3 linked regions of the Arabidopsis thaliana genome follow. The protein of the gene in region 2 interacts with the protein of the main gene of each other region in a pairwise test. Each region holds a gene or a part of one and is shown on either strand. Other genes may lie near its edges.

The links. The genes of interacting proteins can lie anywhere in the genome.
Region 1: the proteins of AT5G09830 (region 2) and GrxC5 interact in a two-hybrid assay, tested with the Arabidopsis thaliana proteins (one study listed by BioGRID).
Region 3: the proteins of AT5G09830 (region 2) and GRX4 interact in a two-hybrid assay, tested with the Arabidopsis thaliana proteins (2 studies listed by BioGRID).

What each region holds. Positions count from the first base shown.
Region 1 is NC_003075.7:14,197,383-14,203,760, reverse strand, and holds GrxC5 (Glutaredoxin family protein), read right to left. Parts: upstream 4,719-6,378; 5' UTR 4,588-4,718; coding exon 4,316-4,587; intron 4,142-4,315; coding exon 4,068-4,141; intron 3,520-4,067; coding exon 3,445-3,519; coding exon of another isoform or gene 3,437-3,444; exon of another isoform or gene 3,274-3,436; coding exon 3,247-3,273; intron 3,126-3,246; coding exon 3,049-3,125; 3' UTR 2,858-3,048; downstream 1-2,857. Other genes in the region: PSAE-1 (Photosystem I reaction centre subunit IV / PsaE protein), read left to right, coding at 1-130, 536-601, 703-810; AT4G28740 (LOW PSII ACCUMULATION-like protein), read right to left, coding at 1,219-1,357, 1,504-1,554, 1,639-2,217, 2,436-2,710. UniProt on the Arabidopsis thaliana protein: Has a glutathione-disulfide oxidoreductase activity in the presence of NADPH and glutathione reductase. Reduces low molecular weight disulfides and proteins. Can assemble a [2Fe-2S] cluster, but cannot transfer it to an apoferredoxin.
Region 2 is NC_003076.8:3,057,103-3,062,861, forward strand, and holds AT5G09830 (BolA-like family protein), read right to left. Parts: upstream 1,724-5,759; 5' UTR 1,668-1,723; coding exon 1,608-1,667; intron 1,024-1,607; coding exon 1,001-1,023; intron 913-1,000; coding exon 714-912; 3' UTR 501-713; downstream 1-500. Other genes in the region: AT5G09820 (Plastid-lipid associated protein PAP / fibrillin family protein), read right to left, coding at 1-278; AT5G09840 (Putative endonuclease or glycosyl hydrolase), read left to right, coding at 1,925-3,810, 3,980-4,868. UniProt on the Arabidopsis thaliana protein: May act either alone or in interaction with glutaredoxin as a redox-regulated transcriptional regulator, or as a factor regulating Fe-S cluster biogenesis. The GRXS17-BOLA2 heterodimer binds a labile, oxygen sensitive iron-sulfur cluster.
Region 3 is NC_003074.8:5,304,837-5,311,348, forward strand, and holds GRX4 (glutaredoxin 4), read right to left. Parts: upstream 4,789-6,512; 5' UTR 4,548-4,788; coding exon 4,476-4,547; intron 4,199-4,475; coding exon 4,058-4,198; intron 3,972-4,057; coding exon 3,872-3,971; intron 3,760-3,871; coding exon 3,693-3,759; intron 3,519-3,692; coding exon 3,440-3,518; intron 3,349-3,439; coding exon 3,298-3,348; 3' UTR 2,929-3,297; downstream 1-2,928. Other genes in the region: AT3G15650 (alpha/beta-Hydrolases superfamily protein), read left to right, coding at 1,170-1,200, 1,313-1,424, 1,688-1,781, 1,877-1,946, 2,035-2,139, 2,249-2,399, 2,482-2,564, 2,663-2,756 and 1 more; AT3G15670 (Late embryogenesis abundant protein (LEA) family protein), read right to left, coding at 5,305-5,928, 6,012-6,065.

The DNA of each region.
Region 1 (6,378 bases), on a different chromosome or scaffold from region 2:
CAGGGCAGCCGAAGATCCTGCTCCGGCTTCCTCTTCTTCAAAAGATTCTCCGGCAGCTGCCGCTGCTCCGGATGGAGCTACTGCCACCAAACCCAAGCCACCACCGATTGGTCCTAAGAGAGGGTCTAAGGTCAGCTAACCTAAACCGTCTTAAATTCCATTAGCTTGTATATATATACGCATAAGCCAAAGTTACTTATCGATGGATGCATTCATGTATATGAGCAAATTTTATTTGAGTTCTTATTGGTAAATCTGCAGAATGGTGAAATGACAAAATGAATCTGCCAATTACACAACGTAACTAGCTAGCTAGTAGGAATCGTTAATTGTGAACTTGTAATTTTTGTTCATAATCAGTTAATCGCTATGCAAAAATTGTATAATTAGTGACAAAAAATTAAATTTCACCACATCTTATGTTCATAACATGGTTCAAATCTAATTGCATGTTTATGTGTGTGTGACTTGTAACCACATATTTTGTTCATAATCAATCGTTTCTTATCTTGATATAAATTGTTGGGATTCGTAGGTCAAGATTCTAAGGAGAGAATCCTATTGGTTCAAGAACGTTGGATCAGTTGTTGCCGTTGATCAGGTAACGCATTTAGTCTCCAATCAACGATCTAACGGTCGTATGAATATCTTTCACCATGCCGGTTTTGTTTAGTTTCTTGACCAGGGTTATAAATTGTGCAGGACCCTAAGACTCGATACCCGGTTGTGGTCCGGTTCGCAAAAGTCAATTACGCCAACATATCGACCAACAACTATGCATTGGATGAGGTCGAAGAAGTTGCAGCTTAAATGGGAGAATTCAAAAACTCTGTGTATTCTATACCGGTTTATCCGTTTGTAACTTGACCCAAACCGTATGTACCGCAAAAGTTTACCAATTATTTCTCCTCATCTGAATCTCGAGCCGGTTTTCTTATTCTTTCACAGAATGTGTTTGGAAAATTCAGTTAAAAGTCTCTTTCTACTCATGGTTAGCTCTCTTAACCGTCTTCATATTCATTCTGAAACCGGTACAATTTCCCTTGGTAAACACCTTAAAAACTAAACACAAACACTTTGCTTCTGAATTCATTCATTCGGACTAACCACGAAGTGAAAATAATAATTTTGAAGTCAAAATCTTTTCATAACTATACATTTTATAAAATTTATAGGAGACTAAAAAACATATGACTTTATCCCTAAGTATTAGAGTATTTACACTCTACCATCCATACCGTCAAGAAGACCGGTCCACATTCCCTTAACCGGAGGAAGCTGTGCAACGAAGGCTTGCCATGGAGGATAACCCACTCCACTTGCCCTTACACGCCCATCCAAACGCAGAGACAAATACCTAATATCAACAACAATTCCGTATCACCGATTGCAAAACGCGGTTTAAATCGATTGTCTTTACGCAAAAACACTCATATTCAGCTCAAGAACCGGTGCAATATTCAGTTTAAACCGGTTTCAGAGCAAATGCAAAGAACTACTTACACTGGAGAGTCTGAGGAAACATTGGCAAGCTTCTTCTGCTCATTTAACCACCTGTTCACGCAACAAAAAATATGAACACTCTCAAATTCGATTTTTTCAACTCGGGTTTCACTATCTTTAAGGAAAGATTCTTACTTTTCCCATTCCGGGACAAAAACCGGAGTCACCCGCCACAGTTTCTTCCTTCTCTGGCTCATTTCTTCATCCGCAATGTCAGTTTCATCAAACTCCAAAACCGGTGAATTCCCATCCGTAGCATAAGCCACCACAACCACACCTCTCTCCACGAGCCCTTGTGTATACTCTTTACTTCTCTTAAACGCTTCTTCAATAAACTCCGCAGGACCAGCACAGATCACAAGCCTAGCAACCCCTCTCAGATCACCTACGGAGATTACCTTATTGTTCTCTTCGACTCTCATTTTGAGTTTGCCAAGATTCTCTTCCCTCGAGAGCCTAGCCATTTGCGCGTTCTTGGTCTTGTTTTCGTTGAAGTATAGGAACGCAAAGAGAGAAGCAGCACCAATGTCAACTCCCAAACCCTTAACGATCTCAAGAACTTCACCTGATCTAGCCGGATTCGCCAGGGCACCTATGAGCCTAGAAGTGGCTATTAGTCCTCCTAATGAACCGCTTGCTATAAAGGCGAGGTAGAAGAACATACGGACTGATCTGAACGGAGACAGAACCTCACTACGGATTCTAGCATCAGCACTGAAACCATAAACAGAGATAACTTAGCTGTGACATTACACAAGGTGTGAGATAACATTCTTGCATTCAAAGTTTTAACCTTTCATCATGTCAATGAGCATAAACCTACCAAGTACTAAAATTGATTCAACAACGACACAGATAGAACCTAAACCATAATTCATTCAAATCTAAAGACGAACCCCAATTTAATAAGGTTAGAAGAAGTCGAAGTTTACCTGATTTCGGAGGGCTCGTCTGCGGCAAAACACACGGTGTTGAAAGACAAAGGTTGCTGCTTTCTAGTTATTGTCAATCTATGGTTTCTATGAGAAAAATCGAGTCTTTCTCTGTGATTATGACGGGAAATTCTACGATGAGAGTATGATTCTTTTGCCTGATAAAGAGCTTGTTTACTAATATGACAATGGTAGATGTAAGTTTGAGACGAGACCAGAGTAGCCATTGGTCTCGCTAGATTCTCTGCAACTTCCCCTGTTTCAGAAGATGACATCTCTTTTCAGTTTGGGATCATTTTTCACTCTATTGACCTGTGATCCTAAACTTGCCACGCTTCTCTCTGATTTTGGATTTTCTAGAATATATATTAGGCCACTTTTTTCCTTCTTTATTTATCAGCCTGGGATTGGTAATATTTGGATTACTCTGAAGGCTTGAAAACTGTGAATTCAAGTGGTGAAAAACAAAGAGAGATCAACAATTACATGATATGTATATGTTATTTATTAACTATAATTATTGTATTCAAATGAGGTACAATGATAATAACAAAAATGAGAAAACTTTCCAAGCTCCGTATGCAAAAATCTCCGAACCAGTTTCAACATCTCCTCAACTCTGACCGTTTTTACCGTTGGCTTCAGCTAACATCAGTTCCAGATCTCCTTTCCTGTTAAGCTTCACTGTATCTGTAGCACAAGAACAAGAAGATAATGCCAATAGTTGAGTGAAACAATATCCAAAACTGAGGCATCTCACATTTGAGAAGTAGAAGAAACCAAAGAGGTGAGAAGAGAAGGAGGAAAGTACCTGTGCAGCCACCAATGTGCTTGCCACCTGCTCATTAGGACAAAGATTAGACACTGTTATGACTAGCTATTAACTGAAACTATGTTGTTCACTTCTTTGGGACATCTAAAGGTTTCATCTTTTGAAGCAGGTAGGATATATAAGGAAAACAGAGTTTCAATGAAGATATGATCGATGTAAACGGATTAAACTACTTACATACGAAAACATTAGGAACAGTGTGTTGCCCAGTAAGTCTTTCCAGTACCTTCTGCAGTTGTGGCCCTTGTGGACCTGAAATTAACCAAACATAGTTTAGTCAAACAGAACTTTAGATAGAACATAACAAATCATTCTTTGTTGTCCAAAATCACCAAACATTTTGACAATTGCATCTTCAACTGTTCTCAAAGAGAGAGACACATTTACTTTTATGATATATACAAGTATGGACTAGTGAGAAACAAAAGCAGGTTACAACAAATATCAAAGGCAAACAAGAATCCCCAAAATGTACATTTTCAACCCAATGGTCCAGAAAGAAAAGTTAAAGATAAACATGTAAACTCATTCGAATCTGAAAAACTAAATCACTCAGAAGGTAAACAAGACTTGCATTCTTTCAACGAGTCTAAATGCCACAACATAAACTAGAATAGTAATATGCATATGTAACCAAAATCTAAAGGTTAAAGGCAATACTAATGGATACTTTTAAAAACTAACAAGCATTACCTCATCATCTATCTAAAGCCATGATATAGTATTATCATGATCAAATCAATTACTCAAGCTAAGCTATGGAAAAAAAAGATAGAAATGTTAAGGAAATGCAAACATACCAAGTTGATCCAATTCAACAACCAGTGGCTGAACCCCAAGTCTCTTGAACAATGTCTTCACTTCAGTACAGTATCTTCAATACACACCAAACACCAACAAATTATCAACAGAAACATTAAGATCTGAATAACAGTAAAAACGAAAATTTACAAGGATATTTGATAAACCCATTCTCCAATTAAGCAAAAAGAAAGAAATAAAACAAATCCTAATTAAAACTGATAACGAAAGAGAGTAGTGAACATACGAGCACCAAGTTTTGGAGTAAATAACGACAGTGTTCTCAGTCACTGTTTTCCTAATACTCTCTTCCATTCTCGATCCAAAGGACGAAGAAGAAGACGATGCAGCCGAAGAAGAAGAAGTCATAGCTCGAACAGAACATGACTGCTTTAGACATCTCTTGTAAGGAGATCCGACATATATCAGAGAGAAGGAATAAGAAGAACAAGAGACTGAAGGAATCGGATCTAGAGACGACGATACAAGTTTCAATGTGTTAAATGCTGTGACTGCCATGGCGATTTCTGCGACAGATTCTTGGAGCTTCTTCTTCTTCTTCTTCTTTGCGTGCTATGCTAATTTGTCTCGTGACGTGACTTGTCCTCTTTTCCCATTTTTCTTTTATTAAATTAAAAAGCTAAATTTTCGTGACCAACAAAAAAAATCTGAATTTTTGTTATTCTAATACTTAATGGGCCTATACTATTACTAATGGGCGTTTTCTTCTCTGAAAAGTATTCGTGGTTCTGGGCCTAATAGGCTTTATAAGACTTGAAAACAAATCATATCTCACTCATCATGATATCATACAAGATGAGATGAAAGATGAATTATTTTGAAGAAACATGTTACGAATCTCACATAAGAAATATCATGAAATTAATAATAATAACTAAGTAACATAAGTCAAGCCATTCATTTCAATTGATTTTGAATTGAAAGCTATTAAACTTACTATAACCATTCACCAATGATATCTAAATTGCATTGGGTCTATGATTTGTTTGGCAAGTTTTGTCATTTTACACTTAAAGGCCATATAACAAAATTCGTGAGAAATTTATGATATCGAAAACAACTCATCCATGGACCTACGTTTGATAAGATCATGTGGGGACTTTTGACTAGTTGTAACGTCATGGGTTCGAATTATTTCATTGTTTCTCCAATTTGTTTTTGTCCATATCCCACCAACATTTTCTTCATTCATTTATAAGCCCAAATCTTTGTTGCATTGACATACATAAATATATGCACACATACATGTATTAAATATTATATACATGCACCACACAAAACATAACTCATTTTAATTATAAACAATTATATTATAAAACTGACTAAAAGAATTGGCAAGTACTCTCATTTGTACAAGTTCCTAGTGTTGTCTGTGTCCATCCATGCGTGTATGAGTAAATACTAACGATTGGTACAAATCAAACACTTAAGAAAATTCAGATATTCGTATCCAATCTGTATCCGAGCGAATGATCTAAATATCTATTTCTTTTTAATTATTTTAGGCATTTACATATGTGGAATTTCGGAATTCTTCTACACAACTCAAAAATAATGTATTAAGCTAGCTAGTTAAGGTTTGTATTTGCTTACAAAATCTAATGATAAGAAAAAATATTGTGTAAGAAATTTTACACAGAAATATCAAATTTCTAAATACTAGAAACATTATAAATATTATACATAATCAGAATGAATCTCTAGCCGGATTGGAACTAAAATGCCCATACTATATATATATATGTGTGTGTGGGGTTGCAGGTACATAAAAAGGGATATAGAGATATGGGTACAGTAGTGTTCCATTCGAAACTTTACCATCCCAATGATTAAATCCAGTACATTCGAATTATTTTTTCTTTACGTACATATTTGAGTATATATAAGAACTAAAACTTGATAAACTATAAACAAATTACATTAAAGAAAAAAAAAACTTGATGAGCTTGTATAGTTAGTTACTTGATAGAGAAGTACTAGTTCCTACTTTTATAACATACATTGTCTATTATTTATTTGATTACGTATCTATCCTAAACTTTGGACTTGGAAAATTGACTTATACGTAAATGAAATCTTTGAAAATTGTTTGTGGTAAATACAAGTGTTTGTTGGTTTCTTCTTTCTTGTGTTTAGTGTAGAGGAATATATTTTTTTTCTTTTCACGAGAGGTAGTTCATCTAACAGACATAGGCATGTGAAAGGAACAAACCCTAGTTTTTGCAGACTTTGGTAATGTGTAAGATGAACAATGTGGACCCTTGAACATGAGTGATTTCTCCACTGCAG
Region 2 (5,759 bases):
GCTTCGTAGAGCTCTTCTTTTATATGAGAAACTGTAATCTCTTCTTGTTCTTGTTCTTGTTCTTCATCTTGTTGTTGTTCATTTGGGGAGGAACAAGAACTCTGTTCTGTGACTTTCCCGATGAACATGGGTCTGAGCCTAAATGAGTTGTCACTAAAACTCAGCGTTTTGCCATTAGAACTGGTGAAAGAGACTAATACTTTCACGTTTCCTGTTCTTCTCGAGATTGCTCCTCGTGAAGCTGCCATTGATGGTGGCTGGAAAAGGTTACTCGTCATTAGCAGTTTATACACCAGAATCTCTAAACCCAATGGAGCTTAATAAGAAGTAGAAGAAGAAGATGGGATTTGAGGAAAAAGAGAGAGAGATAGATTTATGGGGAGGAGAATGGACAGTTTTTTTTGGTTATTTTATCCATCTTTTAGCATCTATCTCTCCCCCCCACCATACACTGCACTGACTCTATTATAAAATTTAGCCAATCCCATTGGTCTTTTTTTTCTTTTTTAAGATGGTGTCATGGTAAAATTCTCAAAAAAATCTCCATCTAAATTGAGAAAAACCCAATTTTTGTTATATTTTGCAACCAATTGCATATGTTTTAAAAAAGTGTTTACACTTCATCAAAAGCAGTAATCGGAGTACAGTAACCACAAAGTATCAACATAGTAAATGCTCTGTTCTTTGTCACAAGGCTTTTAAAAAACAGAAATTCAGGCATCTTTGGTTAAGGTTGCAGAGTCTTGTGATGGTGGCTTCCATTGTTGTGGAGTCTGAGCTTTCTTAATAGAGAGAGCATGAATCTCTTTCATTTCTTCTTCTAGCGCAGCATTCACCATACGATGCCTCTCCAGCAATCTCTTCCCTTCGAATTGTTCAGAGACAACCTCCACTTCAAAACTCGAACCACAACTGCAATAAACAGTTTTGCTGATATTAAGAACAAGAAATTATGCCATAAGCCAGAGAATCAAATGTGTATTGACAATCCGGTACTTACCCTCCAGATATGTCAATGACTTCCTGGTACACACAAAAACAAACAATGTCACTAAAAAATTCTAAAAGCTAAAGATTGAAACAATTGGAACACATGAATCAAGTGAAAAGGGAAATAGATTGACATTGAAGTAACTTCAATCTTCACATGTTATAAAGCAAAGAAACTATACACATCCTTGGATCTGCTTTTTGAGTTCTAGTTCACAAAAAACCATGACACAAATAAAATTTTCCGACAAGAACACTCACTACTAAGTTGCTAATACATCAGGAACACTACGTCATCAAATCCTGAGCTCAGTATCACACTGCATCAAATTACACCTAACTACGCAAACAACCACCTTTTATATTCTGTTTCAGAGCTGAAAGACAACACATAGTGATGTATAATCTAGATGCTGAGATTATTACAATACATAGTACCTCTTATGATCCAACTATCAAAGTGTATGATTTTGATCAAAGTGAGCAGGTCAAAAATCTCAAATTTGGCAATTTTCCCAGATCAATTTGATGATTAGGGTTTCAAAGTTTCCCACAAAAGTTTCAAACCCTAATCAATAGATGAAATTGAAAGAAGAAAGCAGTATAAGAACACTCACGAGATGAATTGGCTTAAGTTTCGAAGTCAATGAAGCTTCGACTTGCTCCTTCGTCACCATCTCTCTCTCTCTCTCTCAAACAAAAATTGAAATCCCTAATTACTGTACTCATTGAATTAGAATATTAAACCATACGCTATTTGGTTTTGGTTTAGCGAGAGTACGGTTTAGTTTGGTTCAATTGGGATACCATTCGGTTATCGACAATTCCAAAATAATAACTAGGGTTTAAGCTCTGCTTTCCTTTACTTCGTCTTCCTCACTCCTAAAACCCTCTCAGTCTCTCCATTTCCCGGAGCAAAAATAGCTCTCCGACCATGAAGTTTGGATCTTTACCATCCAAATCCCTTCTCTTCCGCCTCTCTTCTTCCTCCACAACCCAATCTCACCGTCGAACAATTACCCTTTTCATCACTAACATTCATTCCTCTCCATTCTCCACCACAACCACCTCCGGCTCCAATTTCGTCTCCGGATCCAGCCATTCTCCCTCTCGACGTCCTCAGCAAGACGAAGAGTCCCGATCCGTTAGGGTTTCGGTCTGGTGGGACTTCCTGAGCTGTAACTTACCTGTAGACACCAATGTCTACAAAGTAGCACAATCAATCACCGCCGCTATCAGAAACAGCGGAATCAAAGGACCAATCACAATCACAGCCTTCGGTGACGTTTTACAGCTCCCCAGATCAAACCAAGACGCTCTCTCCGCTACAGGAATCAGTCTCACTCATGTTCCTAACGGTGGTAAGAACAGTGCTGATAGATCTCTAATCACAGATCTTATGTGTTGGGTTTCTCAGAATCCACCACCAGCTCATCTTTTGCTAATCTCTAGTGATAAGGAGTTTGCAAGTGTGTTACATAGATTGAGGATGAACAATTACAACATTTTGCTTGCGAGTAAATCATCAGCTCCTGGTGTTTTGTGTAGTGCTGCTTCTATTATGTGGGATTGGGATGCTTTGATTAAAGGAGAGTGTGTTACTGGTAAGCATTTTAATCAGCCTCCTGATGGTCCTTATAACTCTTGGTATGGTCACTATAGGATTCCTCTTCTTGATCCATTTGCTATTGCTACCACTACTGAGCAATCTTCGTCTAGTGTGAAAATCGAAGAACTATCCGAGTCTGTGAATTCGAATGCTGTTGTTAACCTTCGTCCTATTCCAAAAGAAGTTGTTGATAAGATTCGTTCGATAGTGAGTTTATATCCCAAGGGGGCTGCCATTACAGAACTACGTGCTGAGCTGAGTAAGAGCAACTTGGCTATTGATAAAGATTTCTATGGACATAAGAAGTTTTCGAAGTTTCTTTTATCCATGCCAGATATCTTACAGGTTACTACAGTAAGTGAAGGCTTGTTTATGATTCGGGCTGTTACCGAAAAGAAGCCTCCGATGCGGCTTGATTCTAGTCCTCGTTTGTCTACTGCTGTTGATCAGAAGATTAAAGATAAGGAAACTGTTAATGCTCCATCACCAAAGCTAATTAGCGATGTAGAGCTTGCTGCTGAAAGAAGAAGAGATGGCTTACTTGGAAAGAAGCAGGAAAAGGTATTGGAGAGTGATAAAATTGTTAAAGAAGAATCATCAGAGAGTTCTCAAGACCCAATTCTGGTCGGCCAGAAGGATGTTAAGGCAAATGTTAAACCCGTCGAGACGAATCAAGTCGCTCTTGTTGCGTGGAGTGATTCGTCCATGGAAGATGGCTTTTTTCAAAAGCTAAAAAGACTGTGGTATGGTTCACCTGAGATGGAATTAGAGCATCTCCCAGAAATGAAGAGCGTTTCTGGAAGTGGAGACACACATAGAGAGGATAATGACTTAAAGTCATCAAGTCAGGGAAGTGGAAACAAACATAAAGAGGATAAGGACTTAAAGTCATCGAGTCAGGGAACTGTGCCCATGTCTCAAATCTCACCTTCTTTCGTTGCTGAGTCGGTCGATGAGGTAAAAGTTGGAGCTGATGACGTAGACAGTAAAGATAAAGATGCAAGTCCAGGCTTTTTAGGTCGCCTTTTGAAGAGTTTCAAGTTCTGGGGAAAGAATACAAAGTCTAGCAAAGACTCTAGTGGGAATCAGGAGCTTGTCAATGTTGATTCTCAAGTACAAGACATATTTGCAAAAGAGTATTTTTGGAGTGATATTGAATCTTTCATTAATTCTCCAAGAGGCTTTGCTATAGTATCTCACTCGAGGACAAGGTGCGTACATTCTCTTCCCTCCTGATTTGGCAGGACTTTGATTAGATATTGATTAATATGTAAATCTATCTTAGGTTCAGAACTATTACAATTGGTTCTTGCATTAGCCATTTGTTGTCTTTTTTGGGACGAGTATTCAGCTAATGCTGTTCCGTCTTAACCTGGTCAGGGAGGTGATGGCTAAAAATGTGCAGGAGGAAGGGCCTTCGTGTCTCAGACTGCTCGATGAATCAAGCATGCTTCATTTAGTTACTTTGCTAATATCAGAAAAGAAATGGATTGAAGAAACCCCATCTTCTTCTTTACCATTCAGAATCATCAAAGGATCTAGCCCTGGCCACCGTCATGCTTCAAACGGTTTGAGCTCAATCTTCTCGGATTCTTCAAAATCACAGTGGCAGAAACAAAATGGTGAGAAAAGCGGCAAGAACGTTGCTCATGCTGGAGTTTCTGTTGGTTCTGTGGACCGGAAAGAGCTGGAAAGATACAAAAGTAATGCAATAGCGGATTGTCAGAAGATGATAAAGAAGATAACAGAGGAACACCCTGAAGGGTATAGCCTGATTCGTTTCAGGAAAGACTTCTTAGAGGAGTATGGGTACCATTTAGCGGTTGACAAGCTCGGTTACGACAACCTGCAGTCTCTGATTCGAGTCATGCATGGAGTGAGAATAGCATCTGGATACATCTTTCCTTCAACTCCTTCACCAAATGCCAAGTCAAAAGAAGATGATTCGGACTTGGCATTCGCAGAACTTGGTCCAGTTTCTGATACAACAACTACCCACCCGACGACCAAAAAGCTTCCAGTATATGAACCATCACTCTCAGAGGATGAAGAAGATTCTGGTTCAGAGAGAGATAACCCAGAGAAGAAGAAGCAACAGATGATGAGTAAAGAAGGTAAAGAGAGCTCGTTATTGCAAATTCTGGATTCTTATTACACAAATAAAGATGGAGAATTGAAGGAGAATCCGGTGGAGAGGAAGCTTGTAAGCAACGGTAGAAAGCAAAAGCCTACAAAGACGTATTCTTTTGTGAAAGATTCAGAAGTCTAGTGAGTCAGAGGGTTGTTTACTGTTTAATTAACAATCTCCCGAGGAATTGAGTGTAATTAGTTGAAGCCGGTTTTGGGTTTGGTCTATGGTAAACCGAATCCGGTTAAGGAGAAATAAGATTAATATGGTTCAAACTCTTTTCAGTGGCAAGTCGCATCGTATGCATTTATTGATAGGTTTTACTGTATTACGTGATTTTTTAAATTAAATTTTGGTTCTTAATTTCAACGTTGATGTGTAAAGCACGGAATGAATGAATAGAAATAGAAAAATAAAATGTACTCCATAAAAGATGGAGTTATTTAAACATTTTATTCGATTAGATTAAATGAAGAGTTTAAAAGTGATAATGACATGCTTTTTGGTTATAAGTTAGGTATTAAATAGTTAACAAACCAAAACTAGATTTGGTATATAATTTATTGTTGACCATAATGTTTATACAGTTTTTTTTATAAATAAAAAATGAAAATTTCGGGGGTTTCAATTTGTGCCAGTAGTTTCATTTTAGTAATTCTAAAAAAGTTTATAATTGTTGTCAGAAAGATGTATCTAAGGAGTAATTATTAAATAGGAGTAAGAGAAAAGTATTTAATGAAATGTTGTGACATACATGTGGAGTTGCTTGGTGAATCATCTTTGTCACTTGAGTCTTCTCAATGGACACTCGATTAAAAACACACACCAATAAAAGTACTTAAGAAATGGATAAAGAAAAGAAAATTGATCTTATTATTTAAGCCTAATCTTGTCTTGTTCCCTTAAAATATACCAATATTAATTACCATTAAAGGCTATGTATACATATTTTAATACAATAATTAAACAAAACAGCTCATGCGTATCCACAATGATTCGGTCAAAAAGATTATAAAAAAATGCGTCTCCTTC
Region 3 (6,512 bases), on a different chromosome or scaffold from region 2:
ACCATGTTCGTTGTTCAGTGTTCACTTGATATTCGTCTCTTTATTTCTATAATTTGAACACAACAACTACATTAATGCAAAATAGTAGACTAGATGATCTGGTCAAATAATTTCATGCAAATTTACATCTTATCAGATGCTTTAAAACATACTCTAATAATCGCAGTACATTTTTTTAAAATCTATATACCATGAAGAAAATGAGAAATAGGTGAAATAAGTGGGCTTGATATCGTCAGCCAATTTTGCTGGACAAAAAGCAACAGTGGCAAACAAGAGAGGGCAGAGTAATGAAAGAAGCGTTGAAAGGAGATAGAGAAAAGATCAAAGTCTTTTTTGGTTTATTGCTGCATGCTCCACATGAAAATCCAGCTTGGTCACTTATGTTTCTTACGCATCATCATTACACTCAGTGCTCTCAGATTTCTCAAATCCAAGAACCCTAAAATAAAATATGTAATTCCTTTTCCTTTGTACATTGTGTAATGCAAATTTTTAAATCTTTTATTTTTTCTCGTAAAGTTTCAGACTTTTTAAGCTTTCTGGTTAATGGGTATCCATCAATCATCTCACTTTTGTTTTTCATATATATTTCATTAAACAAATGATTGAACAAGTAGATTTTTTCTTTCTTTTTCAATTTTGGATTATGCCCTCATGTTTCTTGTAATATATATACATACTTGTGTTATGCTATAATATATTCTTTTACGCGGTAGAGTTTTTATTTTCCTCCACTGCCACAAGGCATTGATTCTCTCTTTCTCTCTCTCTCCTCTGTGTAGTTTTGCCGCTAGCTCTGCTCTGGTTTTGATTTTGATTCCTTGTGTTCCCAAAAAGATTTATTTCTTTTGTTTTTATAACGAGAAAAAGAGAAGAAAATTGATTGTCTCTTTCCATGGATGCCTTCTCTTAGACTACGACTAGTATAGTTTTTTTTTTTGTGTAGCTGTTGTACACATTTAACATCCCATAGTGAATGATTCAGATTCACATTTCTTTTCTTTTATTCCTTCCTCTCACCATCACACCTCCAAATTTGCTCTATAAATACACATTTCCCCTCCCTTACCTTCTCTTATATTTTCCATTGGTATTTCAAACTTTTAACTACTATATCACAACAAAGTCTCTAAATTGTGGTGAAAAAAGATCATTGAACAACAACAATGAGCTATTCTCGTCAAAGCATGGGTTCTGGTTTGTTTCTCACTTACTTGTTTGGTTCATGTTAGTATTATCTTAAGTGTGTCACTTGTGTGCTTATGTGATTACTCTGCTTTATATATGTTTCTGGCAAAATCTTTTGTAGGTAGTAGAAGTACAAGGGGCTATGAGTTTGGAAGGACTTATGTTGTGAGGCCTAAAGGAAAGCACCAAGCTACTATTGTTTGGTTGCACGGTCTTGGAGACAATGGCTCCAGGTATTATAATACTATCTCACTTGCCTTGTTTTTATGAACAAAATCAAGTAATAAAGAAAGTTTTATGCTTTGAAAGCTTAAAGTCATACTTGTCAAAACAATGCCTAAATGACTTTAATAGATATCAAAACAAACTCTTCTTAGGACAAAACTTAACACTTTTCCTCTGTTAGTTGAACAGTTTCAAGTATAAATGTGTTATGAAAAGCTTTAACTTTTTGGTTTAATTGACTACTACAAATAAAATGAGCTTTAGAAAGTAGAATTTTGGCGTGTTCTTTGATAACAACTTCTCACTTTGGCTCTGTTTCTTTCTGCAGCTCGTCTCAGCTATTGGAAAGCCTACCTCTTCCAAACGTAAGGATCCATGGAAACAAACTTGGAAGTAATTTTTTGTATCACTAAATATTCTTAGTGAAGGTTCTGATAAAAGATATATGGTATTCTGTCAGATCAAATGGATTTGTCCAACTGCTCCTTCGCGTCCTGTTTCGCTTCTCGGTGGATTTCCTTGCACTGCCTGTAAGATCATTCAGTTAGCTTCTCTAGACTTCATCAAAACATTATTTTAAGCGTTTGCCAATAAAACCAATTTCTTTGCTCCTCTCAGGGTTTGACGTGGGAGAAATTTCTGAGGATCTTCATGATGATATAGAAGGCTTAGATGCTTCAGCTGCACATATTGCTAACCTATTATCTGCTGAGCCAACAGATGGTAAGCCAACCATGAGTTATATATATCTTCATTCCTTTGTCACAGGTCTTGATATAATATATCATAATCTCTAGCTTAACTTGAAAATGTTATTTGTGGTTTGTGTCAGTCAAAGTTGGGATAGGAGGTTTCAGTATGGGTGCAGCAATAGCTCTCTACTCCACGACGTGCTACGCTCTTGGACGTTATGGAACCGGACATGCTTATACTATAAACCTACGAGCTACTGTAGGACTTAGCGGTTGGCTTCCTGGTTGGAGGTATAAATATATGTCTTCAACCCTTTCTTGTCACTTGTTAACACAGAGACTTAACATTGAAAGCTTAAACATAACAATGCAGGAGCTTAAGGAGCAAAATAGAAAGTTCGAATGAGGTTGCAAGGCGCGCTGCATCGATACCGATCTTACTTGCACATGGAACTTGTATGTTTACATATATCATTATATGATTTACTGTTTCAAGATAAAATCACCGAAGAGAATCTAGAATTTTATTCACTTTATGTGTTTTTTGGTTGCAGCGGACGATGTAGTTCCTTATAGATTTGGAGAAAAATCTGCTCATTCACTTGCCATGGCTGGATTCCGACAAACTATGTTCAAACCATATGAAGGGTAACTGTTCAACCTATATCCCAAAGTTATCATTATCAATCTAGTTGTTTTAGTCTGAGATTGTGAGGTTTTAATGTGATTGTGTAGGCTTGGTCACTATACGGTTCCTAAAGAAATGGATGAGGTGGTTCACTGGCTCGTCTCAAGGCTTGGTCTCGAGGGTTCGCGTTAAACTTTACAAGCATCTTCTCAGCATCTCTATAGCTATTATACGATGGTGTAGAATATTTATATTATATATATAAGGGGTGGGGGGTTTCTTGGGGTATACGGTGTTCTCTCATGTTTCTACTGTTTTGTGATTTATTCATGCTTTTCTACTGTTCGATTCTTGATTATGAATAATAAAATAAATAAATAAGGCTCGTTGGGCTTCTTTGATTTTGCTATCTTAGTTTACCAAAGTTTTTATTCATACGAAATCCAAAGATTTTTGAGTTTCTGAGACATTATTTTACCGTACATGAAAAGACATTCTTATGAAAAGAAAGAACAAAAACATAATAACTTCCACTCGTCAGCATAACTTCCAAACTTTGGATCAATCTTGGTTTCCGGAGACGTCTTTAAGCTTCTGCTCCAATTCACCTTCCTAGAATAGTAAAAGAGACTTGTGATTAAACAAACACAATGGAAACGGGGGAAAAAAAAGTCAAACAGGGTCTGCTTTAAGTGGAACTAACCTTGTGCATGTTAAGGATGATGTCTGAGCCGCCAATGAACTCTCCCTTAATGAAGATCTGTGGAAACGTAGGCCAGTGGCTGCAAAGAAATAAAGACTTGAAAATCAAAGGGAGGTCTAGATCATATAGGTCAAAGATTAAGGAATGAACGGTAACGAACTTCAATAACAAAGCCAAACTTTATGAAAAAACTTTGAGAATGAGATTATACAACTCTCTGTATGAAACTTTCATTAAGTGTCCACATACTCACCTGAAGGATTTCACAGCGTTTTTCAACTCTTGGTCTTCTAGAATGTTTCTAGAACTGATAGGAACATCTAAAGAAGGATATCACAAGATAGTAGATCAGAACACAGAGCCTAACGCCAATAGTAAAGAAAATTCACAGAAGGCTTCTTCAGTTTCAATCAACATTTCAACAAAACTTACTATATTGCTGCAAAACTCTGACGGCTAGTGAGCTAAACCCACACTGAGGAGATTCAGGGACACCTTTCATGTAGATCATAACAGGATTATCCTTCACATCCTACACAACCACCAAAGCTAAAACAGCATTAGCAAACACCTAACAAAGAAACATTCAACTTCAAATCTAGAGAAGCTGGAGTGTACATTCTCAACGATATCTTTAAGTGAGTCCGTAGAATCGGGAGGGACTTTTTGTGTAGGCTTGAAATCATCATGTGTATCTGAATCACTTGGCACTGTTGAGGAAAATCTCATCATCCCATTTTGGTAGACTGATGCAGACGTCTGCAAACAAAAACCACATCATTCTTCTCCATGTTAAATTCAACTATCAAATGATCATCAATACCATCTTCTATTGGAAACAAATTCATTTTCACATAATTCAAAACCATACGCTCACGTAACTATCTAATCCGGTTCAACTAACAAAAGAATCAGAACCTCAAATGTTATATAAAGGAGCAATTTTTAAGTGATTCAAGATGGGAAAAGAGAAAACTTTATTGAGCAAACATTAGATACATCAAAATTGAGTAAAAGGGTTATGAGAGAATCTAACCAATCTGCTAGAACGAACAGCTTTGAGATTAGCGATTCCTTTTATAAGTCTGCTCGATAAAGAAGCCGCCATCTCTAAATCACGCAGATTTCTTCAAAGTGTTCCGCGGTTTTGTTTAATCGAAATCTGTCTAGAAAACTATCAAGAACAGGAATGAGAAAAAAAGATTAGAGAGGGTAGCTACGAGGAAGAAGGACGGAGCTAGAGATCTTTACAATGTCGCGACCGCTTCTCTTCATCTCCAGTGACCGACCCAGAGAACGACGTCGTGTCATTACTCATAACCCTAAGATGTTATACGATGTCGTTTCGGATGGTCACCAAAGTATACGTCCGTTGACGTCTTGATAAATTTATTTGGTTTGCTCGGTTTAGATAAATTACTATTCAATTTTTTTGGTTTACTTCTCTCATTTTAGTAGATCTATGAAATTGAACGATTCGTAAAACGTAAAAGCAGACACAAATGTTTTATTGAAATTTTTGATAAAAGAAATTGAAAGATTAGTAAAACCCGTTTGGATTAGCAGCTATATCTGTATAATGCTAATGCTTGATGACCAACATACGAAGTGGACCATGATGTGTATTAATAACTGTTTATTGTAACAAAAATAGAAATTTGAGAACACATAAGTTGTAACAGGATCAAATCTAAACTTATTGGCTGGAAATTAGAAGTCTCCAGGATCACCGTCACAACAAGAAACACAGCTGAACCACAACCATAAAGAAAGACACAACGGAAATTACAAAAACACAAACACAAAACTCAAAAGACCAACTAACACAAAGATACTTTCATATCGTTCTCAATTTTGTTTTCTCATCACTTCCTCTGATAAGTCTGATGAGTCGGATCAGTGGTTCGAGTAGTTGCAGTAGTGGTAGTAGTACTTCCTGGATAATGCTCTTTGTCTTCTTCCTCAGTAGCCATCCCAAAAGTATGCTTCACTGCATCAGCTGCACCCATTGCCATTTGCTTAACATGCTCACCAGTCTGGCTCAAGAATCCACCCGTCTTGTCTCTACCGGCTTCAGCCGTCTCCTTTGTGTACTGTGCCGCACCTTGAGCCGTCTCCTTTGTATACTGAGCAGCGTCTTGAGCCTTGTTCTTTATGGCTTCGCCTGTCTCCGATAAGTAGCTCCCGGCCTTGTCCTTGGCCTCGCGAGCTTTGTCGCCAGCTTGAGATGTCTTTTCTTTTGCTGCTTGCGTCGTCTCATGGGCCTTTTGCTGTGCCGTTTGGGCAGTTTGAGATGTCTTCTCTTTTGCTGACTGGGCCGTTTCATGGGCCTTCTGCTGAGCCGCTTGGGCAGTTTGAGATGTCTTATCTTTAGCTGACTGGGCTGTCTCATGGGCCTTCTGTTGGGCTGTTTGGGCCGTTTGAGAAGTCTTGTCCCGGCCCTCCTCAGCCTTGTCCCTCATCGTTCCCATAGCTTGTCCAGTCTTCTCCTGGTATTACACAGACAAATCATCTTAGAGCTTATATAATGTGGTTTTACGTATACACATACACAAAAATATATTCTTATTACCTGGGCCTTGCCTCTGGTCTCACCAGCTTTGTAGCTCTGTTGGTTGGATGCCATTTCTTTCTTCAAATGTGTATCAAACGAAACTAGATAAGTTTTAAAAGCTTTTTTCGTAAAAGTATTTGTTGTTGTAGTAGAAACTGTGATTTGTCTCCCCAAACCATCGGGACATTTGTAGTGTGTCTTGGTCGGCGGAGAAGAAGACACGTATTAGCACATTGAAACGTGTATAGCTGCGTGGTGTGTTGAGGTTAAAAGAAAATTAAAAAAATAGGAGTTTAGGGGTGTTGTGCTTTACGTTGCAAGCGTTAGTATGCGGTTTCTCGGTCTTGTCCGTGTTGTCCTCTGAGGTTGCGACACCTCATGGTTAAGAGGAAGATGCTTGCTACGTGGCAACACCATAAGTATCGTCGTCGCATGTTATGAGATTGCTAATTTTCATTTTTTTATTGTATCATGGAAATCGGCCGTCGGTCGGTACATGTTCCGTGACGTATTAACTAT